Linked DNA regions of Saccharomyces cerevisiae S288C. Changing the gene in region 3 together with the main gene of any one other region gives a genetic interaction. Each region holds a gene or a part of one and is shown on either strand. Other genes may lie near its edges. The genes, in order: ECM33, YJR142W, YLL054C and YPR096C.

Region 1 (8,891 bases), on a different chromosome or scaffold from region 3:
TGAGCCAGTCGTGTTTAAATTCTTGGAAATTGGTGTTGAACTAAAGAAAGGTAAGCTGCTAAAAGACGGTTTGCACCAGTACAAAAAATTAATTCAAGGATCTACCGAAGGTTTGGTTTCTGTCGGTGCCGTTGCACGTAAATTCATTGATTTAGTCGAATCTAAAATCGCTTCTGAACAAACTAGAGCTGACGAACTTCAAAAGCAAGAAATCGATGATGATTTGGAAGGTGGTGTTACCCCAGAAAATTTGCTGATTTCTGTTTACGAGTCAGATCAATCTGTGGCTGGTTTCAATGATGAAGCCATTACTTCATGGTTAAGATTTACTTGGGAATCATATCGTGCAGTCTTAGATTTATTGAGAAACAACGCTTTGTTGGAAATTACTTATTCTGGTGTCGTTAAAAAAACTATGCATTTCTGTTTGAAGTATCAGCGTAAAAACGAATTCAAGAGATTAGCTGAAATGTTACGTCAACATTTAGATGCTGCTAACTACCAACAAAGTAAATCAGGAAACAATTTAGTTGACTTGAGCGATGCTGATACCTTGCAACGTTATTTAGATCAACGTTTCCAACAAGTCGATGTTTCTGTCAAGTTGGAATTGTGGCACGAGGCTTATAGATCCATTGAGGATGTTTTCCACTTAATGAAAATATCCAAACGTGCTCCTAAACCATCTACTTTGGCTAATTACTACGAGAATCTCGTAAAGGTCTTCTTTGTTTCCGGTGATCCATTGTTGCACACTACTGCCTGGAAGAAGTTTTATAAGTTATATTCTACCAATCCAAGAGCCACGGAAGAAGAATTCAAAACATATTCTTCTACAATTTTCCTATCCGCTATTTCTACCCAACTAGACGAAATTCCATCTATTGGCTACGATCCTCATTTACGTATGTACCGTTTATTAAACTTGGACGCCAAGCCAACTAGAAAGGAAATGTTGCAATCCATTATTGAAGACGAATCCATTTATGGTAAAGTTGACGAGGAATTGAAAGAATTGTACGATATCATTGAAGTTAACTTTGATGTCGACACAGTGAAACAACAGCTGGAAAATTTATTAGTCAAATTGTCTTCTAAAACCTACTTCAGCCAATACATCGCACCTTTAAGAGACGTCATTATGAGAAGGGTTTTTGTTGCTGCCTCTCAAAAATTCACTACTGTCTCCCAGTCCGAATTATACAAGCTCGCTACCCTACCTGCTCCGTTAGACTTATCTGCTTGGGACATCGAAAAATCGCTGTTACAAGCTGCTGTGGAAGATTATGTTTCAATTACCATCGATCATGAATCTGCTAAGGTTACATTCGCTAAAGATCCATTTGACATTTTCGCATCAACTGCTTCTAAAGAAGTCTCTGAAGAAGAAAACACAGAGCCAGAAGTCCAAGAAGAAAAGGAGGAAACTGACGAAGCTCTTGGGCCACAAGAAACTGAAGACGGTGAAGAAAAGGAAGAAGAATCTGATCCTGTTATTATCCGCAATTCTTACATCCACAACAAGTTGCTTGAATTATCCAATGTCCTACACGATGTTGACAGTTTCAACAATGCTTCATACATGGAAAAGGTTAGAATTGCCCGTGAAACTTTAATTAAGAAGAACAAGGATGACCTTGAAAAGATTTCCAAGATTGTTGACGAACGTGTCAAGAGATCTCAAGAGCAAAAGCAAAAACATATGGAACATGCTGCCCTACATGCTGAACAGGATGCTGAGGTCAGACAACAGCGTATTTTGGAAGAAAAAGCTGCTATTGAAGCTAAATTGGAAGAAGAGGCTCACCGTCGCTTAATTGAAAAGAAGAAACGTGAATTTGAAGCTATCAAAGAAAGAGAAATCACAAAGATGATTACTGAGGTGAATGCTAAGGGACATGTTTACATTGACCCTAACGAAGCTAAAAGCTTAGATCTTGACACCATTAAACAGGTTATTATAGCTGAGGTATCAAAGAACAAGAGTGAATTGGAAAGTCGTATGGAATATGCTATGAAGAAGTTAGATCATACGGAAAGAGCTTTGAGAAAGGTCGAATTGCCATTGCTGCAAAAAGAAGTTGACAAGCTACAAGAAACAGACACAGCAAATTATGAAGCTATGAAGAAAAAAATTGTCGACGCCGCCAAGGCCGAATACGAAGCCAGAATGGCTGATCGTAAGAACTTGGTCATGGTCTATGATGATTATTTGAAGTTCAAGGAGCATGTTTCGGGCACTAAGGAAAGCGAATTAGCTGCCATCCGCAACCAAAAGAAGGCTGAATTGGAAGCTGCCAAAAAGGCCAGAATTGAAGAAGTTCGTAAGCGTCGTTACGAGGAAGCCATTGCAAGGCGTAAGGAAGAAATTGCAAATGCTGAAAGACAGAAGCGTGCTCAAGAACTCGCTGAGGCTACCCGTAAACAAAGAGAAATCGAAGAAGCTGCTGCCAAGAAATCAACTCCATACTCTTTCCGCGCAGGAAACAGGGAACCTCCAAGTACACCAAGCACTCTACCAAAGGCGACCGTTTCTCCAGATAAAGCTAAATTGGATATGATCGCTCAAAAACAAAGAGAAATGGAAGAAGCCATCGAACAGAGACTAGCCGGTAGAACAGCTGGTGGGTCCTCCCCAGCTACTCCAGCTACTCCAGCAACCCCAGCAACCCCAACTCCATCTTCTGGTCCAAAGAAAATGACTATGGCTGAAAAGTTGAGAGCCAAGAGATTGGCCAAGGGGGGCAGGTAACAGACAACGCAAAATGATCTACTTAATTTATACCGTTTTTTATACGTATAAGAGTATGTGTACATAATAACAATTTATTAGACTATTTCTTTCTGATTGCTTTTTCATGTCAAAGGAAGGAGCAGAAGAGCAGTAAAGATGGCAGTTATTTTAAAAACGAATTTCGAGAAATAGTTGGTATAAATAACTATAAATAACGTTTTACTGTTTTAAAAAAGCGATCCGTTAAAAGGCCCTAACGATTCTTTAGAAACTTGAAACGTTAGCGGAAGAGCACTTTGTTTTAAACCGTAGTAAGAATTTTTTTATATTTTATTTCATTTACTTATTTTTTTTTTTTCTTTACTCCTTTTTTTTATGTTACTTAGACAAATTTCATTATATTAGGTAAAGCTAAAGGATGGTAAAAAGTCTGAGTGGTTCTTTTAATTAAGGTAGCAAAAGTTGATGAAACTGGAACTTCAAAACAGTAATAATATAGTAACAATAAGAAATAAAAGAGATATTAACGACACTAAAATTTTATCTACATATAAAATTCAGTGATGAACCAACCGTCTCATAATAAAAAAGGAATGGTAAAGAAATCATTAGAGAAGAAATTAAAGTAATAATAGAAACACAAATTGTTGCTTTAATCTTATAGTAAGGCAACGCCAACAGCAGCAACGACACCCATGAATGAAGTGGCTGGAACAAGTTCTGGAGCAGCACCCTTAGACTTCTTAGAAGAAGAGGAAGAAGAGCTAGCGGAAGCTGAAACGTTAGCTTGAGCATTGGAGGCATCACCACTAGAAGAAGCGGAAGATGTAGCAGAGCTCTTGGATGATTCAGTAGAAGTAGAGGATAGCTTAACGGAGGTAGATGTGGCACCGTTCTTGCAAACAAAAGAGTCACCTTGAATAGCACCGTTACTTTGCAACTTCTTCAAAGCGTTACAGGAGAAGTTACTGGAAGAAGAGTCGAAGTTAGCACCACCTCTAACAGACTTCAAAGAAGATAAGTCCAAGGTTGAGAAGTTACCAGTAACTTCAATGGCACCACCAACAGTTTGAACCTTGTTAAAACCGTCAATGACCTTCAATTGTGTGTTGTTAGCAATGATGAAACCACCACCAACAGTAGTCAAGTTACTGAAAGCGGCCTTGGATAATTCATCGTTGGAGACGATAGACAAAGATTGACCAACCTTGCTCAATTGGGTCAAGTTCAAACTTGGCAAAGTGTTGTTAATGAAACCTAAGGAAGCGTTAACAGTTTGCAAACTACCGAAAGAAATAGAGTTAACATCTCTCAAAGTGATGTTGTTAGCCCAGACCAAATTGTCGAAGGCCAAAGTAGTGTTGTCACCGTTGGAAGAGAATTGTAAAGAGTCAGAGACACTTTCCAAGGAAGATTGGAAAGAGTTTAGATATCTGTTGTTGTTGATGTTAAAAACATTAACCTTCTTCAAAGTGGAGAAACCTTCGACACTTTCCAAAGTGGTGTCAGAAACAATAATGTTGTTAGCATTTTGTAAATCGGTGGAGAAGGTAGAAATGGCAGGCAAAGTCACCATGTTAATGGAGTCTACTTCTTGCAAAGAACCGAAAGAAGCACTGGTCAAAATGATCAATTCTTGCATGTTCAAATCACCGGTGATTTTCTTGATAGAGTCAGCGGAGAAAGAAGATAAAGAACTGGAGTTGAAGATAGTCAAGGAACCATCAATCTCTTGGATACTAGCCAAAGCAGCGGAACCCAAGTCACCGGTGATGGTCAAGTTACCAACAATGGTACTACAACCGGAGATTTTGTCCAAATCAGCTTGAGCAGTAGCAGTGGCAGAAGTACCAATACTACATGAAGATGGAATAGAAGTAGTTGAGTTAGCTGCTTAGATAAAGAAAAGTAGTGTTAGTATTCCCGATCGATTTATACATGTATTATTCTGTTTCATTACTCGCCCTAATCCTATGACAGGCAGAAATATTGAAGAATATTCCAAAACCATCCTCACGAGATCTCGAAACCCGTTTCCTCTTTTGGAAATTTTTTTTTTTCGCATTGTCCGTCCGCGTCAATCGAGACCTATGAAAAAAAGCCCAGTAATCGACAAAGAAAAAAGAAAAGAATGAAGAGGACCACGAATCTACTCGAGATTTGTGAGGAAAGAGGCAAATAAAGAAAAAAAGATGAAAAAAAAGGAGAATGTGTACATACCAGCTAGAGCGGAGGCACTTAGAATAGCAGTAGCAGTCAAAGCGTTCTTGAATTGCATTGCGGAATAATAGTAAAATTAAAACTAGATCTTTAAAAGTCAAATAAACGTATTCTTGATAGCTCAAAGGGACTTGTTGAAAGAAAAATGGAAAAGATTAAACTGTGTAGAAGCGAATGAACGATTAACTCTTTTATTTAATTTCTTTTCTAAAAGTGGCCGAAGTACTCAAAGATGATGTTCTAAAAAGAAGAGAAAGGGTGAAAAGCCAAGAAAGATAAAGAAGGAAAGAAAATGCAGAGGAAAGATCTTCACATATTAAATACAAAAATGCAAGAGAGGTCCGTTGATTGCGAAAAGTCGTAGGTGTTTGACATTGAATATTTATACCGGCTCAAGCACGCTACCGAAAATTTTTCAGTTCGATCTGAGGTTTGTACTTTTGATTTCGATCCCAGGAGGGATGGTTGTTTACTGCACGTTGCCTTTGTTTGTTGTGGTAACGCGGTTTCAGTCCTGTCTCTAGTGCCTGGCCACTGAGAATGAGCGCGTGGGCCAGAAACGGTGGCGCGTCTTTCCCGTTTTTGCACTCCATTTCATTTCTTTTTCGCGAGGGCGCAGCAGCCACCCGGGTCGTGAAGGATGATACTGCCCGCCATCCTTTTTTTTTTGCGGTTTACGGTAATTCGCAGATTTTACGTTGATAATGATATGAATGGTGCCCTCTGGGTAACAGGTGAATATGGAGAGAGAGACGAAGAAAAAGAAAAACAATTGCTTCATTTGGCATATAAGCTAAAAAGACTCTAATGAATTAATTAAGGGAAGATAAGAAGAAAAAAAAAAGGCAGTTATCAGCAGCAAACGGTATCCAAAATATTGAAGCAATATGGTGATGCTCCATTCTAAAAACGTTAAAGGGTTTCTGGAAAACACTTTGAAACCGTATGATTTGCATTCGGTAGACTTCAAGACATCGTCTTTGCAATCGTCTATGATTATAACCGCCACTAATGGGGGTATACTGTCCTATGCGACGTCAAACAACGATGTACCGAAAAATTCCATAAACGAAATAAACTCGGTCAATAACTTGAAAATGATGAGCTTATTGATTAAGGATAAGTGGTCAGAGGATGAAAACGATACTGAGGAACAGCACTCCAATAGCTGTTACCCTGTGGAAATCGACTCCTTTAAGACAAAAATATATACTTACGAAATGGAAGATTTACATACCTGTGTCGCACAGATACCCAATAGCGACCTTTTGCTATTGTTCATTGCGGAAGGTAGCTTCCCTTACGGACTACTGGTAATTAAAATTGAAAGAGCTATGAGAGAGTTGACTGATTTGTTTGGCTACAAGCTAGGTTGATGGGTTTAACAATATGTATCGAGGCCACACCTTTTCATGCGTCTCCGGATGGGGGCTGGAAAAAACAATGCGAACAGTCTATAAATAAACACATTTTCGCAGGGACAGAGTTTACGCAGACACGCCATTTACATAAGCTTGATTACGCGGATTGCCGTGGTGCACTTTCGTGCACTCGCACATATATATGCACGTACATAAGGGCCTCATCTTCCTCTCCTTTTTTTCCCCCATCTACCTATCGCTGTTATTGAACGGAAGCATCTTCTTTTTTTATTATGCTCAGAGGGCCCTACATGACAGCTTTTTTTTCCCCAATGAGCTGCTACGGTGCCAGATCTGCTTATGTTCATTATTTTGGATGGTAACCGTTATAAATTTAAAGCGTTTCTTCGCTAGGATGGTGAATATTAGTATTTATCAGCCGTCTCGTAATCGTTTAGTTCGTTACTAGCGGCAAATTTTGTTTGATTTGTTATATGATCATTTATTTTTAATATCTTGCGTACACAATCAATTGCTTTTTGTTATAACTTGGACATATAAACATTTCGTTCGGAACGTGGCTAAGTCGCATTGGATGTAGTGTGTAAAATAATTCTCGTATATACCTTCAATGTCTTCTCTATTGCGTGTTTGAATATACGACATCCCATTATAATCAGCATTGAGGTTTCTTAGAGACTCGAAATCCTGAAAGGAATCCCTAATGATTTCATCGTATTCACACCAACCCAAACGGATCCAATTTTCGCAGTGGGGGCATTTCACATGGATTCTCCTAAATCCCCCGTTCAACGTTTGAGTGTAGTAGGCCAAAGGAGAGGGAATGATGGATACAGTAAGAGAGTTCAAAATTTTTTTGCTAAACTCTGGCTCTTTTAATACTTGAATTTTGAAATTAAGTTTTCCCTGGATTTTTAACAGCTTAGACTCGAAATGGTATAAAGTGTGAGGCTTAAATTCAGACAAAATGCCGTGCGCAAAGAATAAATGTTTTAGGTAGTTTTCAGCTAGAATCCAATTATTCCCCTGGCAAAATCTGCACATCAATTCCTTTTTCTTTTCAGAGTATCGCATGTATTTATACATTATCAGAGAATCCAGACTGTTGGGGTTTGACTCTTCGGTATTGGATCTACTAGTATTGTATAGTGCCTGTACACATGCTGAGGGGGGACAATTTTGATTTCTTTTTATTTTATAACCAAATTCGGAGTATCTGTCTTTCATCCAGCCTCGGATACTGTGATGTTGGAAACACCTTGGAAGAAAAATCAGTTGCTTAGAAATACTTTTAAACACATGCTTACAATCAGTGTTGGCTTTACCAAAGTCAAAATTTTCGCTATCGTTGAATATTTTCCTTTGTGGGAATATTTTGTTCTTGATGGTTTTTCTTTTGAGTGATCCACTATTATTGGATACATTCGTGGTGTCCGTTAAAACCCTCGAAAGAGTGGATGTTGAAGAGTCAGGTCTTTTAGACTGTGTAAATTCAGCATTACTGTCTATCCAAAAATCCACACCATTTGTTTCTTCAATACGTTGTGCGGGAAAAAAGTAGCCATAGTCCATCTTAAGGCTTTTAAATAGCTAATATTAAATACTGTTAGGATAGCAAGAGTGGGTGATTTATTCGTTAGAAATATACGAGTCAATAAAGTCTAGTACCGAATTAATGTATTAGCGAACAAATTCTTGTGGTTTTTTATGAAATCATCACTACTTCAATGTGTTAAGGTGTATTTTCGAAACATTTTTCGGCGCTGCCAGTAAGACGTACGACCCTTTTTTTAGTGTCAGTAACTATAAAATTATGACGTCCGAGAATAGCGTAGAAATTAAAAAGGGTAACAATGATATCTAGCAGCTTTCAAAAAAGGGAAGGGCGGCACAGAACCTTACATTGGACAATGCTTTGCCTTCACTTATACGATATTTTGCATTTTTTTGCTATCAAGATTTGGTTAATACTGTATCGTGTAAATTGAGATCCCACCTCCAAAACTTGCTTTTGGACAAAGCGATATATTAAAATAACTTAAATATCCGCTTAACCAAGCTCTTGATCCAAACGATATCCGGCTATAGTCAATCACAATCCCTGAAGAACCATTTCCAAGACCATTATCTTTATACTTAATAAATATATAGATTTACAGGTTATTTGTATATCGCTAGCATTATTGCGTGCTATTTTCTAATAGTTACTGGAGGGTTATATAATTTAGGACTTTATAAAAACGAGCATTGTATGCACTTGCAGCAGTGTAGAACTTATCTGACGAAACATGTTTCTTACTTTGTTAACTGATATCATTAGTGATTTTCAATACCGTCTGAATATCCACTATAGCTGTCTTTAGCGCTACGAAGAGAGCACCGTAGAATGGTTCCAGACGGATTCTTGGCCAGTAAAGTACATTCATAAGTTAAACTCAATAGTTTTTCCTTTTGTTACGAAAAATTTCTCAAAATATTTTTTATTATTTTGTTCTTCTTGTGGGAAGAAGCGAAGCCTTTGGACAACTCCCCCAGTAGGCGAATTTGAGTTTATA
Region 2 (3,637 bases), on a different chromosome or scaffold from region 3:
TTCATTGGTAACATCATTGGGTGGTGGTTCCAAGTCATATCATTGGCTGTTTTTGTTGGCATTATCGTGGCCGATTTAATTACTAGACATCGTGGCTATTATGCCCTAAACAAGATGACCAGAGAAAAGCTGTATGGCCCATTGATGTTTTTCTTCGTCTCCTGGTGCTGTCATTATTTTCCATTCTTTTTAATGGCGCGTCAAAAGTTTTTGCATCATTACTTACCAGCTCATTTAATCGCGTGCTTATTCTCAGGAGCACTATGGGAAGTAATTTTCAGTGATTGCAAATCATTGGATTTGGAGAAAGACGAGGATATTTCAGGTGCATCATATGAACGGAACCCTAAGGTCTACGTTAAACCCTATACCGTCTTCTTGGTGTGTGTCTCCTGTGCTGTTGCGTGGTTTTTTGTATACTTTTCACCACTAGTGTATGGAGATGTCAGCTTGTCACCATCGGAAGTTGTTTCTAGAGAGTGGTTTGACATAGAATTAAATTTCTCCAAGTAACTTTTTCTGTTCACTAACCACAAACGAACTGAACGCCTTCCTCCGTTTAGTGACAAAATAGAGTACTTTTGATCTTAGATAGTATGTACCTAGATGTGTATATATGAAAAAAATTCTTTATATTTGTTTAGATATCAACCGGTAACCTCTTGAATGTTAATTCAAGGTGGGGAATGGTAACCTTCTGTGCATTCTAGTTACTAGTTCAAGATAATTGGGCTCATTTTCTGGAGTGATGTAGCCATGTCTAATCAAGAAATCTACCATTACCAATGCACAATTTGGTTTGAACTCTTTTTTTCTTAAAGCATTAATCGTCTCTTGCAGGCTGAATAAATTGAAACTCTCGACTTCACCATCGTTTGGTTTTGGAATGATGTCTTCGCTGAGTTTTAGATCGTATACATATTGTACTTCCCCTACGATAAAATCTGATTCCTTATTGAACTTCGTTACAGAAATATCACCCGTAAAGTAAAGGTAGGAAACTGAACCAGTTGCTTTAATGTTATCCTCAATAACACTCTTTTCTAGATTGGCTTCCTCCATGCTTTCTTTCAAAACTGTTTCATAGATACCATAAGGATAACCTAATCCCCCGGCGATAATGTTGTCAAGCATTAGCGGCCATGTTTGTTTCGTTTTAGATCTTCTTGGAACCCAAAACTGAACTTTTTTTGACTTTGGATCTAGCACATAACCATTAATATGAATCCCGTAGGTAATTATACCAAGAACACCTGCTACTGCACGCTCAACCAGTACATAGGGTTTTTTATTAACCCAAACGGCATATTTCTCGTTTCTCCAGCCCTTCACACCACTCAAGGATGATTCTAAATACATTTTACGAGCCAATTGGTCAATTAGATTGTTTCTATGATCAAAATCTTCACTTTTAAACCTTAACTCATGTCTAGATTCATCTAATTGGAAGGTTTCTTCGAAGATTTCCGAGCAAACAGTCTCCATTTCATTTATCGCAAATTTCAACACGAAACCGATCTTTGTGCCATCGTGTGTACACATATAGTAAATGCCCTCTTTGAAATTTTTGTAATTCTCGAAGTCTAATGGTAAAGGGTCTACGCGGTCCATAATCTCCAGGAAAGAGAACCCCTCTAGATCATCCTCCTGTGTCCTCACTAAAACTTCCAAGCCTTTAGATGATTTCTCGACCTTCATTGTATTAAAAGCGTTTGTTTCACTTTCGTTCCCAAGAAAGCCCCTATATTTAGTAATATAACAAACGCTATTGTTGTGCAATTCTTCGGCCAACGAAGTTAATTCTACAACTGTATGTTAAAAAAAAAAAGAAGCTATTTATTACTTGATGACAATATTTGTACAAATTTGAAAGAGAATGGTTCTTAAAATTAGATTAGTGATGTATAGCTAATGGTCCATTCACCAATTTTTTTCATGCTTGAGGGTAAAAGTGCATTAGTATGTTGAAGGGCGCTGTAAAAAGCATTAAACGATGTTTCTTGGAAATCTAATTCCTCGACGACTTGTCGATTGAGACATCGATTTATTGTGGTAACGCTGTTTGTGTAAAGCAACTTCATCGCTCTCTTGAAGCTTTTGTTTCCCGTCAATGTGACTCCAATGTCAACGGAAAATATCCAAACTAGCAATGATTCCGTTTTACATTTTACTAGTACGTAACGACAAGAGTTTGCCTTAACTACGTTTATTAAAGAAATTGTAATGTCACATTCTGGAGGAAATTTGTATGTGTTTCCACTGCGTATTAACTGCAGTTTCCATTTGTGTAGTTTATAAAGCGAACCAGCAGTTACTTGGCCTAACACTGCTGAGCACTTTATGCATAAAACATTATCATTTTCCTTTGTAGTCGCTACATTTTCAAAAGTCGCAGGAGTGCCTTGAAAATAAGAGCTTCCAATTAAAATTTCGTTTTTAGATGGTTTTAGCGTTTCAAATCTTGTGTAGGAAGACTTGTCTTCCTTAACATCGGGTTTGTGGCAATGCCAATAATCCATTAACTCGAACCAAAACTCTGAAGGCATATCATTCAAAACTTGACAGTTATCTTTGCTTATAATTTTTTGCTTACAGTTAAGACATTCTATCGAGAAATCAGAATCTGAGCGAAGCTCTTCTTTAGTCCATCTTCCATCTGGAAGCGACATGATAGAACTGTCATATATCTTAGAGGATTTGCTTCTTAACTTCGTCATCCATTCTAAGTCTTTACCTCTGTTTTTGAACTTGTAAGAAGCGTCTACTTTTTCTTCAACTTCTACTGGAAGTAAAATATCTTCAACTTGTTCTTCATCACCAGATATGCTCATGAGTGTGTCCTTCAAGTTCTTTATCTCCACCTGCTTCCAACCTTCTACTACCACTGAAATGCTCTGTATCCTTGGTAACCATTCTACCACATATTGAACCATCACCCTTGCATTTGTTTCTCTCTTTGTTTTCTTGACTTTCCTTTTCTTTACTTCGATTTAACAGCTTGTTACTATGTGCCATCGCGAAATTATTTATTGAATTGTTTACGTTGGGAAGAGCAGAAATACAAATAGACGGTAGCAAGGCAGGTCCGTAAAGGCACTTTAAGGAGTTAGAACCTCAACACAGATTCTAGATAAAGCTTATTATGTCTATGTTCAATGCCCTCAATTCAAACATCGAAGGTGAACAATATGAAGCAGAGGAGCATTCAAGAGAGCTTCAAATAGAACAGAGTTTTAATATTTTGCAGGACGCTCTGATTGATCTAAAAAACAAGGACTTCGAAAAGTCGGACAGCAAATTCCAAGAGCTCTTCCAGATTGATGTCGTCAAGCCTGATAGGTGGGGCATGTATCGCAATTCTTCTCCTACGCTAGATAACCTGCGATATCTATGTTATAGGAACAGAGGGATGTACTATCATCTGTATTTGGAGAATAACTATGAAAGGTTGAACTCACAAGAACTAGTTAATTGTATTTTAAAAGCAGTTGAGAACTTGGTTGAGTCTATTCAACATAGCGATGCTGATTTTGCAGTTACAGATTTGCTGGCTCGCATCTTCAAGAGCTTTAATAGTGTCAAGTTGGAACGTTTAATATCAGAATATGAATTCACTAAGCAGGAAAATCTTTCACTT
Region 3 (9,814 bases):
TCAGTTCTTTACCAGTACGATTTGGTCACGTGACACGCGATCAACTACATTCAATCCATCTGCCCCTTGCTGGTTCCGAGTATCAATTCTAAATTGTGGCTACCACTATAGCAATAGTACGCCAAGCTCGGATGCAAATCACGGATATCTTCTTAGCATCCGAGTTCAACATCCGAGTTCAGCATCCGAGCTTTGCGGCGAAAACTTAACAAGATAACGGATAATCAAAGTTCTCTGTGATGTTACGGAGTCTTTGGTCTGCGCTGCTGACTAAAATAGTGTGACACAACGTACATAGCGCCACCCATATTGGCCGATAAGGACCAGACTTGTGGCGATGACTGTTAACTCTCCGCGAATCTTTTTCGAAGTCGCAGGTGGCATTGCAGAAACAAAAATGTGTGGCTTCTGAAAAAAAAAATAGGCACCCCATTTGATGTAAGACATCTGGCTACCCCTTGTACATTTCAGTCACTGAGCATCGAAGGCACGTCTTTGCAGCATGCAATAGTGTTCGAAGTTCTTCCATTTACGGTGGCTCCCCTCACTGGAACGGTGATGTAATATGTAGATAGCTAAAACATTTCGCAGGTCCCTAGGAACTGGACGTCAAGATGAATAGGTATTGTTAAAAATGCGTACCTGTTGAATTGAAGAGGTCGGAAAAATCAAAGTACTTAAACAGACGATTGATTCGACATTTAGCTATTCAGGTTGCACTTCTTGAAGGTTGAACAAAACATCAAGAGAAAATAAAAAAGAAAATATAACAAAAAAGAAATGTCAAAAGTTGACGTAAAAATTGGAGCAGACTCGATCTCCTCTTCTGATGAAATCCTAGTTCCTTCGAGACTCGCTGATGTTACGCTAGCATTCATGGAGGAGAATGACGCAGCAGTTCCAGAAATCACGCCTGAACAAGAAAAAAAATTAAAGAGAAAGCTTTTTCTCACAATATTCACCTTTGTCTCTGCCATTAACCTTTTACTTTACATGGACAAAGCCACTTTATCCTATGATTCGATTCTAGGCTTCTTTGAAGATACAGGTCTTACCCAAAATACTTACAATACTGTAAATACGCTGTTTTACGTTGGTTTTGCAATCGGCCAATTTCCTGGACAATACTTGGCTCAAAAGTTACCACTTGGGAAATTCTTGGGTGGGTTGTTGGCCACATGGACTATACTTATTTTCCTAAGTTGTACCGCATACAACTTTTCCGGTGTCGTTGCGTTGAGATTTTTCTTGGGGCTAACAGAGAGTGTTGTTATCCCGATATTAATTACCACTATGGGTATGTTCTTCGATGCTTCAGAAAGAGCTGCTGCTCAGCCATTTTTCTTTGCAGCATGTATGGGGTCTCCAATTCCAACTGGGTTTATTGCTTATGGTGTTCTTCATATAACAAATCCCAGCATTTCGTTATGGAAAATATTCACTATCATCATTGGTGGTTTGACTTTTATCATGACGGTTGTTGTAATTCTGTGGTTTCCTAATAATCCTGCTGATGTGAAATTCTTTTCAATACAAGAAAGGGTATGGATTATCAGGAGAGTTCAGGCATCCACAGGCTCTTCCATTGAACAAAAAGTCTTCAAAAAGAGTCAATTCAGAGAGGCAATGAAAGATTATATAACCTGGTTATTTGGATTGTTTTTTCTTCTTCAACAGTTAGCCAACAATCTGCCCTATCAACAGAACCTGCTATTTGAAGGAATGGGTGGAGTTGATGCTCTAGGTTCGACATTGGTATCAGTTGCCGGTGCTGGTTTCGCCGTCGTTTGTGCCTTCATCGCTACGTTGATGTTAGCAAAATGGAAAAATATTTCAGCTTTAACAGCCATCTTTTGGACTTTACCAGCATTGGTGGGATCCATCGCTGCAGCTGCTTTACCATGGGACAATAAGATTGGTATCTTAGCAAATATCTGTATGGCAGGACAAATATTTGGTATTCCTTTTATTATAGCTCTTAGCTGGGCAAGTTCAAGTGCATCTGGGTACACCAAAAAACTCACAAGAAGTTCGGTGTCCTTATTTGCGATGGGAATTGCTAATATCATATCACCACAAATATGGAGAGAGAAGGACTCTCCTCGCTTTTTACCTGCCTGGATTGTTCAAATCGTTTTATCATTCTCTCTTGCACCAGCCATTTTGTTACTGATCCATTTCATACTAAAAAGAAGGAATAATCAAAGACTAAAAAATTATGACGAAAATTTACAAAATTATTTGGACAGAATTCAACTCATTGAAAGCGAAAATCCTTCTTCCATTGAAGAAGGGAAAGTGGTAACCCACGAGAACAATTTGGCAGTCTTTGATTTGACTGATTTAGAAAACGAAACTTTTATATATCCTTTGTAAATATTGATGTTTTGTTGTGTAAATGTTCTATCTGACACTTAATAATTAGAAAATTAATTTTTTAAACTTTCCGGCTGCAAGAAAGAGGAACTGTGTCTCTTTGAAAGGCACAATTTCCCAAAGAATCATTTACAATGGTAAATAGCTTACTGCTTAGAAAATAATAGATAATTGAATAAATTTATAGAGGAATTTCTTGACAATTTCTTCAAAACAGCCGGTAAAAGTCCATTAAAGATTAGTTTTTCTTAAATAAATCACCTAAACTTTCAAATTTAGCATAAAAAACATGTAGATATTTGTTCTCTGTACTTTATAATCTAACATTTTATAAGACAGAGACTAGTAACCCCTCTAGCCTGTGGTTAAAATACGCAAAACCTTTGAACCCTCAATATTTTTGCCATAATAATGACAACTATATTGTACCCATTTGTTCTTGAGTTGTCCGTATGGATGGAAAGCAGCACTCGAGTTTGCTGAAATTACATACCTCGGTATGCAATATGCCCAGAAAATTTGTAAATGATAATTTACATAACAATTCAAAACATATTGATGTTTTTCGTGGGTAACCATAGTTCTTGGAATGTCAACTGAGGGTATTTGCACTTCAAAAAAAAAAATTTATTAAATGAGACTATATACAGTGAGCACAACCTGTCTAATACAACGGCAAAAATTATATACATTGGTAGATTTTCAAAATTGAACTCTTTGTGCTAAAGAATTGTCACAACAGTTTAAAAAATAGTTTGAATTCTTCAAATTGACCCCATATTAATAAGACCTGATGCGATTCCGGTCTCACCCAGATTAGAGAGGGAATTTAATTTTCTTAGGACCGTAGCTACCAAAAATCTTTGTGTGGTATTGATTATATGATCGTGCTTGCGAAAAAAATAGAAGACTAAAAGTAGCATTAGTTTACTAACTTTCTCCTCGTATCTTTCAAATTTGTATTCCCCTCAAAAGTTACTCAGGTTAGGGAAAATTCCAAGTAGCTTATCAAGATCAATTGCCATTAGTTGATTCAAGGCTTCATTGTCATAATTCATGAGGTCAATTTCACTCTGTAAAGATTCGTCAACATCTTCAGTGAAGTTTCTGGAAAATTCTTGTGCGGAAATGAGTTTTTCTAATTCTTCCAAAATCTCCAAATCAAGACTTCCCAAGAATTGTGGATTGTTTAATTTTGATGTGAACGAAAAGGACTTATCCCTTCCCATACCCCATTTTAAACCGACAATCCTATGGATTCTTGAATATCTTTCATCCATAACGGCGTCACTCTTCCAGTAGTCGGATATAAACGCAGACAGCGCGTCAGTATCCACCAAATAAATGATATACCTGAAAATAGAGACAGAAATGAACGAACCGAGATAACTCTTTTCCAGTTTCGAGATAACAATTTCTACAAGTAATTTCATATGATATGACATCAACTTGATCATTTTTTCAATGACTCGACTAAGTCTTCCGTTTCTATCATTCAACATTCCCATGGCTGCAGAGGATCTGTCGCATGTATCCTTCTTATAAAATAATCTCACGAGCAAGGTGGCCTGGAATATGAGTAATCGATGTATCGAAAAGCGAACAACTTTCTGAGTGGCAAACCCAAAAGGTTCCCGTAAATGCAGAAGAGATCCATTAAAGTATTCCGAGATTAATTTTAGCAACGTTAAATAATCTTGTATAGCGGTAAAAGTAAAGCGGTGATAATATGTTTTGTACTCCAAAGCGTTTTTGAAACATTGATTTTCAAAATGCAAAGATAAGCTATCATAGATGTTCATTGTACAAGTGTAGCTAATCACATTAGCTATGAATGTTTCATTTTCCTCAAAAGTGCTAAAGTCAAAAGATTCTTCATTTGCTAAGGAAGAGGGAACATTGATATGTAAGCTCTTCATCCTTGGTTCTCCAAGAGAACTTAAAATGAGAGGGAATTTCTGATTTAAAAAATCTTTTGTCTTGTCGATGTTATCCAATACTTCCTTCAAGTAGGAAGGGCCATTTATTGGAAAACAAGAAGTCAGTAATACCTGTAAAGATAAATGTAAATGATAGATATTCTCTGCTGTAGCCATCAACGATAAGTCTAGATTATTAGTAGAAGCGTAATTTCTCTCAAATAGTTCTGGTAGAGATTCGTCAGTTTTCATAAAGGATCTTAAATATTCCAAACTTAGAATGTCAGAATCTCCTTCTGGAATCAATATTCCAAACTTCAAAAATTGCACGCCAAGCCATAATTTCCTTCTTAAATTGAATAATCTTGGATAATCGTCCGATTCGCTGACGTATCGAGTGTATTGGAAGGGTTCTTCATTCAGTCCTAGCTTTATTGCTACATTCTCCAAAAATTTTAGGTTTAGTATGTCACTGTGAGTAGGATACATGTCAGCTTGATCTGGATTCAAATACCGCAATATGAAAAAATAGAGCAGACAACAAAGTGTATGTTCATTAACATATTGAAAAACGTTCATGAGAGCAAGAAGTTTATGAGCGAGTAGCGTTAAATTATTCGATTTTACACCAAAAGATTCTTTAAATGAATGACTAGTACTTAGACTCAAACGTCTGTAAGAAAAAGCCAATATGATAGTTAGCAGTGTTATTGTCTCCAGTTTTCTTCTAGAGTCTTTGCCCGCAAATACAATGTTATACCCATTAAATTCATTCAATTGCAACAGCTCCCTTATGTTATCTTCGAATAATGATATTTCCAGTAACGGATAGACCGGATATATTGTTTTGTAAAAGTCCACGATTAAGCCATCAACCTCATTCTTATTGAGGAAATATTTGGATAACTCTTCCAAAAGGATGTTTATGGAAATTTTATCATTATTTTCTTCAGGATGCGCTTGTTCATAATCATACGTGTTATACAGAAAATCTATTGGAGGATACAATTTGCTTGTTTTTGAGGTATTTTCAATAAATTTAAGTGCAGCTTTATCAATAAAAAACAAAGGTCCAATATCACCGATTGTTAAGTTAAGTTCTCTTTTTTTATTGTTGGCAGAAACGTTTTCACGATGGCGTTCGACATCAATCAGTATCCTCTCATGTATGCAGGTGGTCAAGGCCTTCGCATACAAATCATGTTGAAGAATGCTATGGAAGGCAAAAGGACTATCAACGATGGTTGTGTTATTCATTACAACAAGCTTGTCGTGTGCATTCGATAAATTCATGGCAAAATTTTTCATTTCCCAGTCTTTAGTACTTGGATTAAGTATGGAAGTAAAGGAACCACTTGCGGACATCGATGCAGGAGTAATGTTTCTAATGTCTCTATGTGGGGCATTTTCGATAGTGGGAGATTTGTTAATCCGTCCTGGTTCCACTTCGTAGCTACAAATCGAGGATGAGGCCTTGCATTTGGAGCAAGTAGGCCAAAGTTTATCACATTTGATTTTCCTTTGCTTACACCGCAAGCAAACAAACGATGGCTTAACCTTTTTCTGAGATGCAATGCTCATATCCAGTGCAGTACACTTATCTTGTCATAGATTTCTGATGGGTAAATAATTACTTCACATCATCTTTGTTTCCAAAGTTTGGCCTCAATGTTGCCTTTAGGAGGAAAAAATGTGAAGAATGCATACTTCTGCCGCTTACGTAAAAACAGAACTCTGACCAGAAGAGATAAAAACAAAAAAAAAATAAAGGACAGTAAATATGAAAAATAAGATATTATTATATTAAATTAAATTAAATTAAATTAAACTACGATGGGAGCGTTATGCCAAAAAAGATAAAATTCTGAGCAGACTACTCTCAGTCTTCCTTCTTTTGACCTGCCGCCTTTTCGGCATTAACGTATGTAGTGTAATCAAGGATTTGTAATAATTGCCACACTGACCAGGCTAAGAAGGCACCCAAAAGTGGGCTAATCCAGTAGATCCAGTGGTAATGAGGGAAATATCTGGCAGCAACGGCGGCACCCAGAGATCTTGCAGGGTTGACACCGGTACCAGTGTAACCGGTCAAAGCCATGTGAGCCATGAATAAAGAAATACCAATTGGAAGCGCAGCCATAAAGTTAGTTTCACGTTTTTCAACAGCAGTCATCAAAACTGTTAAACACAACACAGCAGTACCAAACATTTCCAAAAACAACCCCCTAGATCTGGAACAGCCTAAACCCAAAGCATTAGTAAAGAGAACCTTGCCTGGAGTCATAGCACTAGCGGCACCACCAGCAGCCATCCCAGCAATGATCTGAGGAAACCACATCACTACACATCTGGCTGGTGAGATGGCTCTGGCCAAACACAAAGAGAGAGAAACGGCTGGGTTCAAAGCCCCACCAGAAACACCAGATAGAAAACATCACAGAGAAACCGAAACCAAGGGCAATCATGATCAATTGACCTGGATGAGAGCCCTCAGGCTCGGTTGTCAAAGCCACATCATGGTTAGCGACATTACAAATGACGTAAGCACACCATAAAAACATGAAGGTACCGCAAAACTCACCCACAGCAGCGATAAAGTGGTTTCTTAAGGTATCTCTGTCAATATTAAAACGCGAATGCTTCGTTTCCGGCTGTTCAGGTGGAATATAAGCATTGTCAACACCGGTCGGGTCCAAGTGCGAAATGTTTTTTTCAAGGTCGTTAGATTCGTTAGACATAGTATAACTAAGGTAGGCTAGTGTCGCTTTTGAATATTTTCAGGAATTGTAATAGCCAGGAACAAGAAAAAAGACATGCGCACACTAATAAGCTACTAAAACCAACATATTTATACTATCAACCGAGAGAGGGGCAGATATGATTCACGATAAAAAGTTAATAAAAGGATAACAGCGGCGCTCTAATTCGTTAATGAAAGCCATAGTCCGGTATGGACAAAAACTATTTCCTTCTTTTTTTTTTTTAGGTTTTTTTTTAATTTGCACTTGCAATAATCTAATTCACTGTAGGAGTTTAAAGAAAAACATCTAGAAGGATTGGAGGAGGTAAGTCATTATTATGGCGGTGCTCTTTTAGCGGGAAAAAAAAAAATACACCTACGACGTTAAAACAGATCGTGCTGTCGTCTCAGCGGCAGTAAAAGTACTGTAGTAGTTACGGTGCACGCAGATGCAATGCTAATTAAATAATCATGCTCCCATTTTTAAGAAGCAGAAAAAGGCCGCAGTAATTTGAGCCGTGAAAAGATTTCGGAGGGTTGATTCTTAACATTTTCCAAAAAAATGTCCTTTGGTCTGTTTGCTTGGGTCTGAAAAGAAGGACTGCAGCGCCACCTCCACTGGTTAAGGACAAAATCCATACTTATTCCATCTTTCTCGGGACATATTTTCCTGAGACAAAAGACCGTAGAACTTCAAAGACTCGTTCCCAGAAAGGGATTTAGAGTTAATTTTTGCTCGGCATCAAGCCGGAAAAATTCAGGCGCCGCTTAGTAATTAATTGCAAGTAAAGAAGTACCGGATTTATTAGACATCGTCTTAGCAAGCAAATTCCTGAAAGCTAAAACGCAAATAATTAACTAAAAATAGTTGCTAAAGAGCACCTTTTATGCGGTACATAAAAGTTTTTAGTGCCGTAGATATATGTAGATATAGGTGGGCGTAGGATCAGAAGGAGCCGGAGAGAAGATTTACCAACACTGATATTCCTCGAAATACTCTATAATTCTCTCTGGGTAACCGAGGAGTTTTTGAGAAACGGTGTTTCTAACATCGTCCACCAGAACAGGAGGGCCGCAGCACACGACCGCTAATGAATCTCCAGGCGGCGTACTTTTTATTGCGTTTTCAATTACATTGCTAAAATTAGGTCTTGCATTGCCGATGTGGGCGAAGCTTGTCAGTTCGGTCATTATATCATCAAAATGTATTAATTGGTCTCGTGCGTTTGCTGCCTTTGTAACAGCTGTTTTCTGTGTAAGGTAAACCTGCACGTTGACGTGGGATCGGCTATTTTTTAGCTCTAGTATCTCGGATTTATAGCCGTTAAGAAAAGAAGGATTTTTGATCGCCATGATCAAATCTATACTCTTGGGTTTATCAGGGTTTCGTGACAGCTTAATGGCATGATCTAATGGACCAGGCAAGCCTGTTCCTCCACTTAGTAACAGCAAATGGTCGAATTTATCGAGGTGAAGATTACTGGGCCCATAAGGTCCCTCAATGGCCACTCGGAGTTGTAATTTACCATTTAAAGATTGCAAAATATGGTTATAAATGAATCTAGTGAGACCACTTTTAGGTTTGATCACTAAAACACACTTCTCACCTTCGTCGATAATGGTAAATGGATGGCATTGCCAAAATACCAATGGATGTAAAAAATAAATGAAACAATATTGACCCGGTTTCGAATGCCATCTCCGGTTATATTTGGGTATGATTACTTTAAACATTTCATCGTGCGGGTTGTTGCTGGTGTTCAAATTGATTAGTGTTGCTTTCGGAAATCTAAACTGCAAAATGTTCCATATTCTGAAAAGCTTTTCCAGCCCCCAAATGAGCAAGGATACCACTATCCATTCTTTCCAACCGTTGAAAATTTTGACGTGTTGCCAACAACAGTAAAAGAACAAAAGGGCTAGTATGATGTGGGTGTACAGGAAAAATTCGTAATGTCTTTTCCTTACTATTCCGAGCGATAGAACTAGTAGAACGCAAAGCACTGTTATGGATGCAATACCAAACTTCCAATAGAGCTGTTTGTTGCTTATTTTGAAGGCATGGTTGATAATTGCGAATAATGAATAAGAAAGCGAATGTATCGTTGCGTTTAAGACCATGATTCTACCGATCCATTTATGGAAACTAATAAAGGAATTGAACTTGACTCCTGTTAAAAATTCGAGAAAACTATTCCTTGCCGTAAAAATGATAATGAGAGGGAACTGAGTAAACGCCAGTATCCCAGATCTATCAGCCAACAGTCTTGTAAACTGCGACAGGTGACTGTTGAAAATGAGGTTATATGGGTCTATGATGTAACTTATGGACAAAAATATGATGTTCGCCAATGTGTATCCAAAAATGATCCATGCCTCCAAGGAATTCGGCATCAGTCCCGTAAAGACTTCCACGTTTAGAAACTTGAAGTGATTAGCGTGCTTATCTACTAAAAACGTAGGCAACACAAAATGGCCCCGAATATAATTGACGAACCGGCTTGCAAATAGCGCTCGATTCAGGCCGTTATAGTGACTCATATGGAAGAAGACGGCGATAATACCCACTATGACGAAGTAGTAAGTTAAATATGCACCATAAACACTGCTGATATCTAAATTATAGGCATGCGCATGAAAAGCTCGTATCCATCTAGATCTTGTCTCACGATCGACTCGAATGGATGTCGATAAACTTTCAATAGAACCATAGTCTTCCAAAGCGTGAGAAGAAGCATTATTTAAAGATGAGTAGTATTGCTCCAGTGAAATATTGCTA
Region 4 (7,670 bases), on a different chromosome or scaffold from region 3:
GAGTATTTGTCATTATGGACTAAATCCACGAAATCATGCTTTGTCATTTTGCTTTTATTGTTGGGGTTAAAGTAATCAGTGTGCAACATTAGTAAGGAAAATGCAATAAAATACACCTGGTCTGCATTAGACCAGGGGCACTCAATTCCTTTTTTCTTAGAATAGCTCTTTTGGGCCTTATAGTATGCAAAGCTAAAAGCCATTATCAATCTATCAATTTGCTGCGTCTCCTTTGGAAGCTCTAAAAACATCAACAATTTCCTCAGGGCAATATCTAAAGGGTCATTTTTAAATTCGAAGCAATTCGTTAATAGGTAGTTTAAACAATTTTTTTTGAACTCATCATCTTTTTCCGTTAAAATGATCCCAATGAACTTTCCGTAGGGCGCTAATTTAATCAAGAAGTCCTTACAAGAATCACTAAATTCAGGCGCGGGAACCGGTGGTAGATCTTCCAGCGAGACATCCAGTTTTTGTTGTAGCTGCTGTTGTTGTTGAAGGTGCTGTTGCCTAGAGGATGATAAACTGGAGGAGCGAAGGTTAACAAAACTACTTAAAGCATTCACAATTGAGCTACTTCTTCTTGACATTCCAGTAATAGTTGAATTGGCATTGCTTTTATTGTTGTAAACTGAAGTAGGGCCTGATCCATGAGGTAGGCCCAATTTGTTATGGTAGCCTTCATCTTCAATTGATTTTCTCTTGCCGCCCTTGCCTTGAACAAAAGACGTACTTTGAGATCGAGACCTTGATAAAACCTGATGGTCTGGGTGACTTGCTTCCGCTCCATCTGTATCATTGCTTATAATATTGGCATCATCGGGCAAAAGAGGTCCGCGGGATCCCATGGGGTCTTGCATAAGAGAATTTGTATTTTTCTCGTCAATAGTCCTAATAAAAGAAGATGGAGAGAGTGGCGGTTTGTTCTTTGCTGTATTGTTTTTGTTAATATAGTCAAATACGTCAACAGTTCTACTGCGCCTTCTTCCGAACCTCCTTTTGGAGATCTCATCTTGTTGTTTTGCCAATTCAATTTGAGGAGTTGCATCAAGTGGTATTGCGTGCAGCGAATTGAATTTTATTGACGACGACGATGATGATGATGATGCAACAACAGCTCTTTTGGACGGATTGAAATATCTTGAAGCCGCTGTAGAGGAACCGACGGAAGAAGATGTCGATATCCTACTCACAGTAGGAAGAGTAGGAACTAATCTATCACCGTTAAACAGGGTAGGCTCTTGTGATTTTCTGTAATCTCTTGACAATCTATTAGAAGAAGGAAATTTTTCTAGAGCAGGTTTCACAGGAATGAATGGGGCGTGTTTTGAATTTCTCTTTACGTTATCAGACCCGGAGCTAGTAAGCGTGACTCTCTCACCATCGGGCTTGGGAACTTTCTCTATCGAATCTATGTTGTTTTCTGATTTGAAAGGCATTTCTTCAGGATCTTGTCCATTACGGAGGTGTTGTGCAACCAAGATTTCATCATCTTCAGAACCCTTTTCATTGGCTGACCTGAAATTCAAGTCTAACCTACCCATCTTACGCCGTATCCTGCTTAGTTTGCTGTGTTTTTTTGTGGGCTCGCATTCTTTTACATCAAGTTTATCGTCGTCATTATTAGTGTGTTCCTGTATTTCTGCGAGTTGAAGAAAAGGACTTCTATAACTTTCCGACTCTCTTAATTTATCTATGCCTGTTGAAACATTGCTTCCGCCCTTTTTGTTGCCATTTTTATCGTTACTGTGTGATTGAAGGAATTTAAGCTTAATCAACGAAGAAATAGACTGATTCATTATCTGGCAAGTGTGGATTGAAGAGCTGGTCTGGCGGGAAGTTAGCGAAAATGAAGTTACAATGAGTTGAAACAGAGTAAATAATAGGGAGTGGATGCGAGTAACCTTGCGATGTCAAAAGAATTCAAAGTACTATATCTACTGCCTTTCTTTCCACTTGGTGCCTTTTACCCTGAAAGTCTAATGAGCAGGTAGTATAAGAGAAGCAGCTTCTGAAGAAGAGTTCTTTGTACAATAAACCGGCCTTGTGGTGCGAGAGAGGCTTGTAATATAGATTATACTGAAGCCTGTTGAACTTAGCGTCTATTTTCTTTTCGTTCCCTATATCACTTTTCCTAATATTTTCAACATCTCCTTTACGCCAAAAACAAGAAAAAGGACGAGATGGCCTTGGGTTTTTAATGCTTACGCCTGTTTCGCCTCTCATAAGACAGATAAATGTACGTTAACCATTTGACAGTTAACTTTTTAGGCGTGAACAAGGAACGTATTAAAGTGTTTTTCGAATAATTGATCACTTTCTAGCTTTCATTCTTTTTTAAGAGCTACATCCAATTACTGTGCATTGGGCTCTATAAAAAAAGAAAAACGAACCTTACCTTGTGGTCGGAATTGTGTACTGAAATCAGTGGTTGAAGATAATTGTACTAAAGAATCAAAAATAGACAGTCTTCAAATGATTACTCAAGACACTCCTGCTTTAAATCCAACGGAAGAACACTACCTGAAGAGGGAACTGCTTCGATGTCAATTGGATTATGAAATTGGAAAGCTTAACGATCAGTTTGCTTTGAGAAAGTTCGGTTATCCTTTCTCACCAAACGATCCGACAGCTCCACAGCCTATCTCCAATAACGATTCATCACCAGTGCTCGGTGGCAAAGGCCATTTTAGCGTTAATTATCCCATGCTGAGTTATGTTTTGCAAGAATTTATATCCACATTTCCTTTACTTTCAACAAATTTGCTAGTTGATGAAAAATTCTGGCAGAGTAAGGTTCAAGTGTTCTTTGAACATTTCATGAGTCTTGGGTTTAGTGAAAGTTATGACAGGGAGGAAGCTTCAAAAAGGAAGAAAGTTTCCAAAAAGCTATCAAAGGTTATCTTGTTGCTCTTTAACTCCGGTGTTGGCTCTTTTCAAGAGCAAGCGTATTATAATGAGGATAAATTCGTTTTACAGTCAGGCCAAGCGAGAAAACGCTCTAATATTGAGAAATTTGCAATGCCAACTAGAGAAAATTTAGAGAATTTGCTCACTAACGAATCCGTTTTTATTAACGGTTGGGACGTCAATATTATATCCGTGTTCAATAAGAATTCACGGAAATGTACTGAAAGTGTGGATAATGACAAGTCTAGTAAATCTACTCCAACTTCGAGTCCCAAAAGCCATGCTATAAAATCATTTGCTTCCACTTCTAAATGGATGAAGAATGCCTTCAACAACACTATTAACAGTACCATAAATAGTATGCCCGAATCCTCAGCATCTTTATTTTCGAAATTATCCCTTGGCGTGCCTTCAACTAAGAGCAAGCAATCTAGAAAACATCATTATTTCTTGATTAAGATTAAGAAGCAAGATGACGACGACCAAGATAACAGCAATGAAGAGAATAGTAATCTTGATCACCATGCTGGTTATTTCTATGTGACAAGAACATACAGCGACTTCAAAAAACTATCTCATGATTTAAAATCAGAATTTCCGGGGAAGAAATGTCCGCGCTTACCTCATAGAAATAAAAAAGTGACGTCTATGATAACTAAAACCGAAGTGTTACACAATGGGCAAACTAAATCAGCAGCCAGGGAAAAAATCGTCAACACTTTTGACACTGATTTACAATCTGCATCAGAGTCTGATAATTCTTCATTTTTACAGACAACGAATGAATTATCTGCTACAGAAACAGTACTCACAGAAAAAGAAACTGAAACGTTGAGAAAAAATATTCTAAATGAGATCAAGGAAGAAGATAATATTGATGAGGACGAGTATGAGGAAGAAGGTGAAGGTGAAGAAAGTGATTTTGATGAATATAAAGATGCATCCGATTCAAAAATCAATACTTTGGTGGGTGAAAAAATGAGAACTTCATTAAGACAATATTTAAGGACTTTGTGTAAAGATGCAGAGGTTTCTCAAAGCTCATCTATTCGTCGCTTCTTCCTAAGTGGGCCTAATTTAGATATTAAGGACATAAATCCGAAAATAGCAGATGACATTAGAAACAGGGCTCTGATAGATGTAAGTAATTTGGAGAACCAAATACGTTTCCAACAGATGGCGTTAGAAAAGTCTTTAAAGCTGCAAGACTCAATGAAAGATTTCAAAACATCCCTGTTAAAAGATGAAAAATACTTGATGAGTCTACTAGTAGAAATCAAGGACAATACGAAAGTTGAAGACCTGTCACCACTTTTACAAGACTTTGTGGAATGGTGTAAGATTTATATTTCCTCAATGATTTATCAAATGTTTCTGGGTAACGATAACAGTTATGAACTCTATACACAAATAAGACGGTTACATAAGCTTATGCCGTACACAGTAATGGGACAGATCATGAAATTTACTAATCCAATAGCGATCATGAGGGGTATGATTGAATTATTTATGGCACAACCCTTCGGTGGTCATTCGCTCCTTCAAACAATGTTTTCTACGATATTAACAGATGATTTGAAAACTCAAAAGGTAGCTATAAAGGAATTAGAAAGGAAAATTGCTGAGATGGACCCGGGCGCTTCAGTTGTGACTAAATGCTTGAAGGATTTTGTCTTTAATAATGATACTAAGGATGAGCATGATACTAAACTCTTTACTATGGACGCAGTAAATGCAGAATCCGAATCCATGAACATGCCTGTACCATTGATAGTATTAATGAAAAGTGCAGCTGCAAATCTAATTCCAGACGAGGTTGTCGCGGGACTTATTGAATCCTATTCATCATGGAAACTGCAAAAAGAAGACACGGATGCCTTGAATGTAACCAGCGAAGATCAGTCAGGTATTTATTTCACACACGTCAAAGATTTATGGCAATTGTATATTAAAGAACATGATAAACAGCTAATGAGGCAGCTATGGCAAGATCCTGAGTTAACCCAAATGCTAAAGGCAATTGTCACTATGATTTACGAACCTATGGTCAAGATCTTCAAAGTTGCAAGGATGGATGTTGCTTTGAAAAATTTTGAGAAGTTCATGAGTGATTTGATCAGGCTTGTTGATGATGTTATCAATGGTCAGTTGGGCGTTTCCACACAGTTCGATGTCGTGGAAGAAATCCATAACTTAGTAACCAAACATCAAGATGCCTTTTTTGAGTTTATTCATGATGTATATTTGAACGATTCAGAGGGCATTTTTGAAGGTTTTATTACTTGGATTACTACGATAGTGAAATTTTTGCAAAAGAGTAAATTCGGAGGACCGAGTGAAAGGATCGACTTCAATAAGTTAATTTGTAGAGATGATATCGATATTGATGTCAAACTTTTGAAAGTTCAAGTTAATAATGTTCTTAATAAAAAGATTGGTGCGAGAAAAATCTATAAGAAGTTGTTAGATTTGAAGGTTAAACAAGGTACTAAACAAAATAACAAACACGCTGCTGGCATACTTCAAAAGAATTGGAGTGACATAAACTCCTTGGTTATGCCATCCAGCTCTGGATCTTTTGGACTTGGAGATGGTGATTTGGTGGATTTGGATCTCGATACAGGTGATTACGATTTTTTACATAAAGAGAATGAAGTTGAATTAGAAAAGCAATACAAAGATTTATTGAATCTTGTTGTTGATGAAAGTGAAATTGATAAATTGAGATCTCAAGTTTTCGCACAGGAATTAAAAAATTATTTAGAAGCTCAAATTGCTAAAAAGTAGGCCCTTTCTAGTATCTCCTTTATTCGTTTTTATTCGTTACGATTTTCCGGCTTAATAATATAGGATTGCTAGGTCTATATATAAGAAAAGCTTGTAGAAATAAAAAAATAGAAAAAACTTCAAGATAAATATTGTTCTCTTTTATTTTAAGATCCTACAAACAGCACAATTCCCCTTTTAGTTATTTTTAGCCAAGATCAGGATAGCAGAGAACTGAGTCCCTTATTCTTTAATTGAGGGTCAAAAAATTCCGATTGCGAACTTCATCTCCACCTTGGCAAAGGAATGACGAAAAAATGATCTTGCATATATATATTTACTTGTAAAATAATTATTTTGGAATTTTTCTTAACAAACCACCTGACAAACAAACACCGTACGCAAGCATCCCGCAAACATTAGAAAGATTGAACAAAAGACTCAATCCGTGCGACTTGCCAAATTCTTTACGTAATATAGCATCCTTTGCTTCCAATTCACTACCCGTGTATTTCTTCGCAATATTCTTTCTTTGTTCTTTAACTTTATGGGTCCAGGGCAACAACCAAAACAAATTGGTTAGCCCACTGACAGATGCAACCACCAAAGAAGATAATGGTCCTGTTGTCAAGGCAATTGGAGCGGTAAGGGCCAGGATGACAGGTGATGCCGCTTGCATTTGGAAAAAATACGGGAAGATCTTATTTTGCAAAGCAGAAAATTGGTCTTTTTCAAGAACTTTGAATGCGATTGGAGAAGCTACATAGGAATAAAACGTCGTTCCTCCAAATCTGAAAGATTAAGTTGGTACATAAAAGTTGTTAGTCAGTTATTCTCAATTAATCATAATTGTTCAAATTTTTTCTTGTGTCTTAATCTGTACATACACAAAGGAATAAAAAAGCAAATGAGCCGTAGTTTTGACTAAACACATTTTTCGTTGTTAAGTTTACTGGACTGTAAAGCGTAGTTTGATCTGCCTATATCATCAAACAACTCCATTTAACTCCCTTAAATAATACTATTCTTTTCTGTAAGTTTATCGCACTATACGTTACGGTGCTTTCCGTCTTTTTCGGATGAGGGATGCTCATAAGAATTACAACAAATCATAAGCCCTGAGATAAAAAAGATCAATCAATACGATTATCATAAACCATGACTAAGTAGATACACAGACACGAATATATGGAGAAATGGTTGTGAAAGCTATTGCACGAAATTCCATAGGTCGTAATGGAGTTGGAGCATTCGTGTTTCCATGCAGAAAGATTACTTTGCAATTCTGTAACTGGGGAGGGTCTTCGGAAGGCATGAGGAAATTTTTGACTTCAAAGAGATTAGATAAATGGGGCCAGGAGTTCCCATGGATACAGTTTGAAGTGATGAGGAAGTCTGGACATCCTTTGTTGAGGGCAGAATACACAAATGGGCGTGAAAAAGTTATTTGTGTGAGAAACTTGAACATTGACAATGTAGAAAACAAGCTAAAGCTATTGAAGGATTCTGATGGAGACATTTTACGCAGAAGAACAAAGAATGATAACGTGGAAAGCTTGAACAGTAGTGTGAGGGGTATATGGTCGCCTCTGCATGCTGCGAAAAGGCATAGAATTTAGCTTTAGTATATAAGAAAATTCTAGAAATAGAGAGAGATAATTATACTTGTATATATAATTTGGGGCAGATAAGACTCCTGATATTTAAGATTTAAAGTCAATTTTGCCATTGTTATATGATCATGTCCTGAAATATGACCTCTTGTATTTGGTTACCCGCTTTACACCCTGCAAATCACACTAGTCTAATAAATATGGAATAAGACTGAAACATATAAAAGATGTAACTTCTAGGATATCTGAAAGAGCAACCGTACGGTATTCAACGTTTAGATTTGATGGACGGCCTTAGCTTTGTTGATAAAGGGAAAATACCAGATGGTTACAAAAATGAAATAGATCAATTAGTAAAGAAGGAATTTGCGAATATAAAAA

Evidence for each region.
Region 1: mutations in YLL054C (region 3) and ECM33 together harm fitness more than expected from each alone (negative genetic interaction), as found in Saccharomyces cerevisiae (2 studies listed by BioGRID).
Region 2: mutations in YLL054C (region 3) and YJR142W together harm fitness more than expected from each alone (negative genetic interaction), as found in Saccharomyces cerevisiae (2 studies listed by BioGRID).
Region 4: mutations in YLL054C (region 3) and YPR096C together harm fitness more than expected from each alone (negative genetic interaction), as found in Saccharomyces cerevisiae (2 studies listed by BioGRID).

What each region holds. Positions count from the first base shown.
Region 1 is NC_001134.8:389,244-398,134, reverse strand, and holds ECM33 (Ecm33p), read right to left. Parts: upstream 5,013-8,891; coding exon 4,955-5,012; intron 4,625-4,954; coding exon 3,393-4,624; downstream 1-3,392. Other genes in the region: RPG1 (translation initiation factor eIF3 core subunit a), read left to right, coding at 1-2,752; SLM4 (Slm4p), read left to right, coding at 5,842-6,330; ECM8 (Ecm8p), read right to left, coding at 6,844-7,908. UniProt on the Saccharomyces cerevisiae protein: Required for proper cell wall integrity and for the correct assembly of the mannoprotein outer layer of the cell wall. Important for apical bud growth.
Region 2 is NC_001142.9:695,202-698,838, reverse strand, and holds YJR142W (uncharacterized protein), read right to left. Parts: upstream 1,699-3,637; coding exon 670-1,698; downstream 1-669. Other genes in the region: PMT4 (dolichyl-phosphate-mannose-protein mannosyltransferase), read left to right, coding at 1-513; IPA1 (putative polyadenylation protein), read right to left, coding at 1,890-2,933; HIR3 (Hir3p), read left to right, coding at 3,143-3,637.
Region 3 is NC_001144.5:29,329-39,142, forward strand, and holds YLL054C (uncharacterized protein), read right to left. Parts: upstream 5,877-9,814; coding exon 3,345-5,876; downstream 1-3,344. Other genes in the region: YCT1 (Yct1p), read left to right, coding at 781-2,376; YLL053C (uncharacterized protein), read right to left, coding at 6,175-6,633; AQY2 (Aqy2p), read right to left, coding at 6,584-7,033; FRE6 (putative ferric-chelate reductase), read right to left, coding at 8,005-9,814. UniProt on the Saccharomyces cerevisiae protein: Required for growth on non-fermentable carbon sources.
Region 4 is NC_001148.4:722,919-730,588, forward strand, and holds YPR096C (uncharacterized protein), read right to left. Parts: upstream 2,227-7,670; coding exon 1,924-2,226; downstream 1-1,923. Other genes in the region: Arf family guanine nucleotide exchange factor SYT1, read right to left, coding at 1-1,799; LEC1 (Lec1p), read left to right, coding at 2,476-5,697; TMH18 (Tmh18p), read right to left, coding at 6,029-6,467, 6,564-6,610; YPR099C (uncharacterized protein), read right to left, coding at 6,839-7,195; mitochondrial 54S ribosomal protein mL43 MRPL51, read left to right, coding at 6,873-7,295; SNT309 (Snt309p), read left to right, coding at 7,574-7,670.